Macaca fascicularis: one gene and its partner. The protein of the gene in region 1 interacts with the protein of each later gene in a pairwise test. Links are inferred from orthologs where the notes say so. Each region holds a gene or a part of one and is shown on either strand. Other genes may lie near its edges. The genes, in order: DNAJB11 and UBR1.

The links.
Region 2: the proteins of DNAJB11 (region 1) and UBR1 interact in a two-hybrid assay, tested with the Homo sapiens proteins (2 studies listed by BioGRID and IntAct). The link is inferred for Macaca fascicularis from reciprocal best matches to the Homo sapiens genes DNAJB11 and UBR1.

The regions. Positions count from the first base shown.
Region 1 is NC_088376.1:98,516,733-98,521,335, forward strand, and holds the start of DNAJB11 (dnaJ homolog subfamily B member 11), read left to right. Parts: upstream 1-1,724; 5' UTR 1,725-1,932; coding exon 1,933-2,000; intron 2,001-3,126; coding exon 3,127-3,283; intron 3,284-4,603. UniProt on the Homo sapiens protein: As a co-chaperone for HSPA5 it is required for proper folding, trafficking or degradation of proteins.
Region 2 is NC_088381.1:19,657,650-19,661,466, reverse strand, and holds part of UBR1 (E3 ubiquitin-protein ligase UBR1), read left to right. Parts: coding exon 1-110; intron 111-616; coding exon 617-724; intron 725-1,456; coding exon 1,457-1,545; intron 1,546-3,418; coding exon 3,419-3,517; intron 3,518-3,817. UniProt on the Homo sapiens protein: E3 ubiquitin-protein ligase which is a component of the N-end rule pathway. Recognizes and binds proteins bearing specific N-terminal residues that are destabilizing according to the N-end rule, leading to their ubiquitination and subsequent degradation.

The DNA of each region.
Region 1 (4,603 bases):
GCTCAGTAGGGGCTAATTTTGATTGATTGGTCAGGGAAGTCTTCTCTGAGGTGGTGACCTTTAAGCTGATACATGAGTTAAAGAAGGAATCACCCATGGTAAGACATGAGGGAGAGTACAGCGTTTCAGGCAAAGGGAACAGCTAACACAAAGGCCTTCGGCAGGAATGTGCTTGGTGTATACAAAAAAGAAAGGAAGCAAGTTTTGCTGGAACATGGTTAGGAGCATAATAGGTGAGAGGACAAAGCATAAATGGCTTTGTAAACTAGCATAGAGCTGGGATTTTATTCTAAGTGCAAATGAAGAGCCATTCCAGGCTTTTAAACAGGGGAGTGACATGATTTGACTTTTATTTTTTATGTATTTATTTTTTTTTGAAATGGAGTCTCACTCTGTCGCCCAGGATGGAGTGCAGTGGCAGGAACTCAGGTCATTGCAACCTCCACCTCCCAGGTTCAAGCAATTCTCCTGCCTCAGCCTCCCGAGTAGCTGGGATTACAGGCGCTCGCCACCACACCCTGCTAATTTTTGTAGTTTTAGTAGAGACGGGGTTTCACCATGTTGGCCAGGCTGGTCTCAAGCTCCTGACCTCAGGTGATCCGCCCATCTCGGCCTCCCAAAGTGCTGGGATTACAGGCGTGAGCCACCGCGCCCGGCCCTTAAAAAAAAAAAAAAAAAAGGAGTGAGGGACAGGGATGAGCAACATATATGAAGGTATTAAGGAAGATATTAAGAGTGGAGACAAGGAGGCCAGTTAGGAGGCCCTGGCCAGGTGAGAGATACACTGTGATCCAGAGACCTAGTAATGGAGATGTAGTGAACAGATTCAAGTATAGTTCAGAGGTAAAGATTTGGATAGCTTATATATGAAAGGAGTAAAAACACCTAGAGCTTTGTCCTGATCAACTAGGTGTTGTGTAACTGTGATGAGCAAAATCGGGGGGGAAGACGGGGAATCAAAGACTTATGCTCGAACAGTAATAATGGTTTTTATTCATTGCCTGCTTACTATACGCCAGACGATTTACAGATTTTTTTTCCCTGTTAAAATTCACAGAACTGCCAATAAGTGCTTTGCCTTAGTTTTGTTGATAAAGAAACTTAGGCTCAGACTTGGGAGGAGGGAAGGAGTAAGGAGTCTCACCACTGAGAAGCGGTGCAAGCCGAATCCGCACTTAAGTCGGTCAATCATCACTGTCGCCTTTCCGAGACTTATGGAGTTGCTTGGAGAACGTAAAATAAGAGTCCTAAGCAATGCGTCCGATGTACAGTTGGGGAATAACCGTCCCCGCTCATTCTGCCGCTGTTCCCTCATTCTGCTCCCGCATTCGGCGCGTAGCTGGGTATGAATGAAATTCCAAACTTGAAACACAGAGAAAACTTCTCTCCCACAATTGGTTGGTGCTGGGGAGGAGCCTCCTGATTGGTGGAAAGTTCGAGGAAGTGGGTGAGTCGGGGAGGATTTCGTGTACCTCAGGTGCCCTTACTCGGACCAGCCCCCTACCATTACGTAATTTTCTACGACTCGGGGTAGCTCGGGCAGAGCGGGTTCCTGCAGCGGCGCGACCCTCTGACGTCTCCTCTTCTAATTGGTCAAGATCTGCGACTGCAGTTCTGAAGCCTAACTGGCTACCCGTGCCGCCTCGGAGGTGAAGTGTACTGCGCTGATTGGCTTTCAGGCGCCGGCCGCGTGTGATGTCCCGGGCAACGATTGGCTCTCGCTTACCGGGGTCTTCTCTCACCGGGACTTGGGACTCCCGGGAAGTGGACTGGAAGAGGAGGGGGCTAGCTAGCTGTCTCTGCGGACCAAGGAGGGGACCCCCCCGCCCCCCAGTGTGAGGCGCCTCACAGGGCTGGGTGGGCTGGCGAGCCGACGCGGCGGCGGAGGAGGCTGTGAGGAGTGTGTGGGACAAGACCCGGGACAGAGGAACCATGGCTCCGCAGAACCTGAGCACCTTTTGCCTGTTGCTACTGTACCTCATCGGGGCCGTGATTGCCGGGTGAGGAATAGACACTCGCAGACAGCGGGGCCCGGGGGTCAGCCTTTGCTAGGGGGTGGGAGGGGGTGGGGGAAGTGGTATTGCCAGACTGAGGGAGTGGAGAGGGGCATCGCTGTGGGTTGGCGGGGTGGCGGAGGAAGGGGTAGTATGGGCCAGACTAGTGGGGTGAGAAGCGAACCGTAGGTGACACCAGTGAGAAGGCGTTAGGTCCAGAGAAGGTCTTTGGTAGAGCTAGATTTGCCCGGAGGAGTGGGAGTTGGATGCATTGCCAACGGCATTTGGGGGATGAGGGAAAGAAGGTGGTTGTGAGCTGGAGCACTGTCACGTAGAGCTGGGGGAAGAAAGAGGGATGCCTGACTGTAAGGAAAGGTAGTGACAGTGCTAGGCTGAGGTTGGGGGGATGGACGTTTGTTTGATCAAAGAGGTGGGTTGCTGTGCCCCGCTGAGCTGGAGAAGCGGACGATGCTCTATGCCAAGCCTGCGAAGAGCCATTGGGGGGCTGACATTAAAGTGGGTGGATGATGCCAGGCCGAGTTGGGACTGAAGGAAATTGGATGGGGAGGGGAACAAGAAGACCCTTTGGAGAGCCCTTGTGCTTCCCAGCTTCTTGAGCTATTTATTGTCTTAAGTTGCTTCGTCTTTAACATTCTGGCAATGCTACTGTTAGGACATTTATGTGGCATAATCTTTTTAAATAAGGAAAATCATCCCTTGAGAGTGTTATTTGACTTTTAGAAAAGTCAAAATCATTTGGAGCAAATGTAGAGAAAGGGGGGAAGAGTTAATTTGATTATATGGTTATTGCCTAAAGATAACATGAGACCATAAAATAAGGAAGTGGTTTTCTTGACTGAAGGTGGTTCTGAAAGAAGATGCCACAGATGTTTTGAATAATCTAAAAAGAAGTATGTAGCTTCTTACTGTGATTACTTCAATATATAAGATTCATTACAAATTCTGGTGTTCTCTTTTTAGTCATTCTTTGTGTGTATATGTGTCACATAAACGTTCACTTTCGTACCTCTTTGCTCAGACACAAACCTAAATGTAGAGGAAAAATAAATCTTTTACTTTTAAAAATGTAACATGTAACTCTGATGAAGTATTCTCTCCCTCTACTTCCCAGACGAGACTTCTATAAGATCTTGGGGGTGCCTCGAAGTGCCTCTATAAAGGATATTAAAAAGGCCTATAGGAAACTAGCCCTGCAGCTTCATCCCGACCGGAACCCTGATGATCCACAAGCCCAGGAGAAATTCCAGGATCTGGGTGCTGCTTATGAGGTGAGTCAGGAAAAGTGATAAAGAACAAATAAAATCTGTAGCTCTAGAAAAAATATACAATACAGAGAAATACTCTTTTCAGCTCACATATATTTATTTAGAGACTGAGTCTCACTTTATTGCCTAGGCTGGAGTGCAGTGGTGCAATCTCTGCTCACTGCAACCTCCGCCTCCCCGGTTCAAGCACTTCTCCCACCTCAGCCTCCCGAGTAGCTGGGATTACAAGTGCATGTCACCACGCCTGGTTAATTTTTGTATTTTTAGTAGAGACAGGGTTTCACCATGTTGGCCAGGCTGGTCTCGAACTCCTGACCTCAAGTGACCCGCCCGCCTCGGCCTCTCAAAGTGTTGGGATTACAGGTGTGAGCTACCACGCCCAGCCCAGGTCACTTTTATTTAAAAGTAGATGGTAGATGAAAGTAAAAGTAGTACTTGATACTGTATTGTACTAGATATTACATTCATGTTAGTAGATACCATTTTCTGCCTTTTGATATTAATATTTATTTTAAGAAGGAGAATAATGCTGCAAAAGAATAAATGAAAGATTGGTAGATTAATAAGTAGATCAACTGATTGGTCTGTCAGTCAGTCAGTTTGGGAGCTAGACCAAAAATAAAAAGAAAGCCTTCATGAGAGTTGCAAACCTACATGTTCATATGAACTAGACAAATAACATGCAGGGCAGGTATAAATTAAAACATGACAGCAGATATTCTGCCTCCATGTTGGGAAGCAATAAGGATTGTTGAGGGCTTTGACAAATTGAAGCCTTCTGGCCCCATTTCAAGGGAGCAGCTGTTACCTCAACCCTAGCCAGTTTTTGTCATAGTAATGCAAACAGTATGTTCCTAGATGATTTAATTTTTCCAGAAAAGTTGAAAATCTAGACTTTTATATAAGTTCTGCTTGTAAAAATGTTGGTAACTAATTCAGTTAAATTTCTTTTTTACGTAGATCAAACAAAGCACAGTTTTAATTTGATTTTCCAACCTCTAATCTGGGGACCAAAACACTCTCCATTTGTATCATCTCATTTAACCTTCACTAGGACACCAGGAAATACATTAGAGCTAGGCATATTTTTATTCTCATTTTCTAAATGGACACAGAAAAAAATTAGTTGAACTAAAAGTCATAGAGCTAAAACTCCCGAATTTAAGTTTAAATTCTTATATATTGAGAAGGCTAAAAACAAATTGAAAAGTATTTTAGGAAGACATAAACCTTGAAAGGAAGGAATCCCAAGATCTCTTAGATTAAAGAAACAATGGAGGCCGGGCGCGGTGGCTCAAGCCTGTAATCCCAGCACTTTGGGAG
Region 2 (3,817 bases), on another chromosome or scaffold:
TGTCTCTCAACATCCACTTCATGTAGAAGTATTACACTCAGAGATTATGGCTCATCAGAAATTTGCTTTGCGTCTTGGTTCCTGGATGAACAAAATTATGAGCTATTCAAGTAAGCATACCTCCTGTTTTTCTTGTTTCTGATAAAATACTGTGTTTTTTATAGTCACAAATTTTAAAATGTCATCGAGTATGAAATACAGTTTTTCTTTTTTTTTTTTTGGTTTATACACTTTGATTAATTTTCAGGGTTGCATTTCAAATGCATAATATCTTAAGATATTATTTCAAGTGCATAGTATCAAATAATACCTTTTTGTTGACTGTTGAGTCTTTGATGTTGACAGAATTATTCTTTACATCAAATGTGGGAGGATTAATGTTAGTCTTTTCACATGTTATAGGAAATGTATTTTTAGGATAAATATTATAAGAATAAAAATTATGGCTGAGTGCAGTGGCTTGTGTCAGTAATCCCAGCACTGTGAGAGGCTGAGGCGGGAGGATCACCTGAGCCCAGGAGTTCAAGACCAACCTGGGCAACAGAGTGAGATTCATCTCTATGTAAAAAGAAAAAGAATACAAGTTGTGTAATTGTGTGACCTCTTTTGTTTGTAGGTGACTTTAGGCAGATCTTTTGCCAAGCATGCCTTAGAGAAGAACCTGACTCGGAGAATCCCTGTCTCATAAGCAGGTTAATGCTTTGGGATGCAAAGCTTTATAAAGGTAAGTAGACATTTGCTTATGCTTTTTGTCAGGAAGCAAAGGAAGATTATGATCTTAAAGTGGAGCTGTAATATCTTTTGTTTATTAAATTAGTTATTAAATCTGTGATCTTGATTGATAAGGTATTACATGTGAATATCAGGTTTAACCAGTCAGTATGTATTCTTTGGTGTTAAAACGCAGGGATGTTATCTTTTAATTATAGAGTCTTTTCATTTAGTGAGAGCCAGTCAAAAAGAGTATATACATATATATATATATATATATATATATATACACACACACACACATACACACACATACATGTATCTATAAATTCAGGTAGTAATGCCATTGTTGAGTGGCAAAAAAAAAGCTCTTTTCATTGTAAAAATCTAAATGAAGAACAAAGTGTAAAAGTCAAGAGAAAGGCTAAAAGCATGGAGAAGGAAAAGTTCAGAGTAAGAGTACTTTTGAGTGAAATAGAAAAAGAATGAAAAGGTTGAGAGAGAATCAATTGAAGTGTAAGATGAAGTGGTGGGAGGGGTACAGAAAAAAAGGGAAAAGGCAATATATGTGTGTATTTTAAATTCTAGTTATTAAATATTAATACAATAAATACTGTTTATATTTGAGGTCTGTTTGCATGTGAAATAATTTTATAATATTCTGCCACTCTAATAGATGGAATGTTTTTGGTTTTTGCCTTGGTGATTCCCCTCATTCCCCCACCCTCCCCAAAATAATCTATAGGTGCCCGTAAGATCCTTCATGAATTGATCTTCAGCAGTTTTTTTATGGAGATGGAATACAAAAAACTCTTTGCTATGGAATTTGTGAAGGTAATTATTTATAAATTAGATATCAATAAATACAAATAGGCAGTTTTTATAAATGAATTAATAGAAACAGATAATTATGAATCCAAAATTAAATGTTATGATTCATTTCTTTATCAAAAGTTCATTCTTGGCCCTGAGGGTTGACTCACCCCTGTAATCCCAGCACTTTGGGAGGCGGAGGTGGGTGGATCATTTAAAGTCAGGAGCTCGAGACCAGCCTGGCCAACATGGTGAAACCCCATCTCTACTAAAAATACAGAAATTAGCTGGGCATGGTGGCGGGTGCCTGTAGCCCCAGCTACTCAGGAGGCTGAGGCAGGAAAATCGCTTGAACCCTGGAGATGGAGGTTGCCGTGAGGCAAGATTGCGCCACCACACCCTAGTCTGGGCAACAGAGTGAGACTCCTATCTCAAAAAAAAAAAAGTTCGTTCTCATACATTACATAAATATTTTCACAAGTGTCATTTGCTTGTATAGAAACAGCGCTCTTAGAGAAGAGATAGGTGGAAAATGACCTACTGACCCAGAGCAAAGGGAGATTATCACATTCACATATGCATTCAGTCTTCCTAGTCATTTATTTGCCTGTTTGTAAAATTACAATAAGAATAGAAGTAACTAACTGATAAAGGATAGCAGGAAAGAAGAACAGATGTGTATGCTAAAGTGGGGTGCAGAAATTAGGTGGCCAAGGGTTCTACTTAATTGTTGGAAGCTAAAATGTGAGGCTAAAATTTACAGCTTTTTAATGTTTTATTAATCTATCATATATCTCTTACCTTACTGTGTCTTTTTGTCTATCAACCAAATTAGATTGCAAGGTTATACATATCAAGGACTCCTTTGAATCTTTTATTTTGCCTTATATAAAGGTATCCAGTAATACTTGTTGATTTCCTCTGATTTTGAGTTGCAGTCAATTCTGTAAGACTTAAGATAGATATAGGACCCAAGATGGAATTGGAAGCAGAGAAAGAAATAATGATTGTTGTAAGCAAATGACACTGTGGGATAAGATACCTGCATTCCCTGGATTTTATATGCAGACTTACAAGTAACTAAGACATTTGTTGTATGTCTTATCCTTCATCAGTGATGGCAACTTAAGATGTTCTCTTCTAAAACTCTTTAGATATAGAATATTGGACCATATGTGTGATCTCAAATGAAATTTTGTTTTCTTATACAAAAGCTAATCTCCCTACTTAGATGATTTTTTTTGTACACCATGGTTACCCCTTAAACTTTGTAGGAATTTTGGAGGGTAAAATATCCAACTTAAAATAGGTTAAGTATCCAACTTTGTGCCTTGCACATAATAGATGCCTGTTATGTGACTGAATGTATTACCATTTTTGTTCTCCCAGTTTATCAGAGTTGTTTTGCAGCTGTTATGTACCAGTATGGGAAAGAAGTTATTTGCAGCCAGCATCCATTCTGTTTAAGGCTGGATTCAATCTGATTGGTTGGTTTTTCTGGGTCATATCAGTTGTTAAATACTTTGAATATATTCCCTGCCCAATACCATTAGAGTAGAAGTTGCTAAAGGTTGCCCCAGATTCTGTTTGGAGAAAGGATAAACTATACCATTGCAGTCCTCTGTTTTTTTGTTTTTTTTTTTTAACCTGTATGTATGTTTTAATAGTTTCCACTTCTATCTCTGCTAAATTGAGTAGGTGAATTTTTACTTGATTTGTTGTTTGTTATTCTCCTTCTAAGATATTTTTGTTGATCATAATATCTTGCCTCAATAAATAGGAATTATCTTACTTGACATTTTATGGATAGAAACTTGCAGCAGTTATTAAAATTGTGATTTTTTAAAGGTCTTTAGTAGTGATTTATAATTGATTCTCTACTTATATATTTCAGTATTATAAACAACTACAAAAAGAATATATCAGTGATGATCATGACAGAAGTATCTCTATAACTGCACTTTCAGTTCAGATGTTTACTGTTCCTACTCTGGTATGTATTGATTATATTCCTTTTCAATCTTTCTAAGTAAAACTTGTTTTGCTTTGTAAGAATTCTACTTAATGTTGAATCAAATTAGAACAATGTTAGAATCAGTAAGTTGGGCTATGTGAATACTTTAGTGCTACCCAAGGACTAGTTAAGTAGGCGCTGCCTTGGTTCAGATGTCCTCATCAATGCAGATGACACCTAGAACTGGTTTCTTACTTTCTAGAGTAACTTACAAACCCTGCCTTTTCAAACCAAAAATATTTTATTTTTAAGTTATTGTTTGTAGGCAGATAGAGTAAG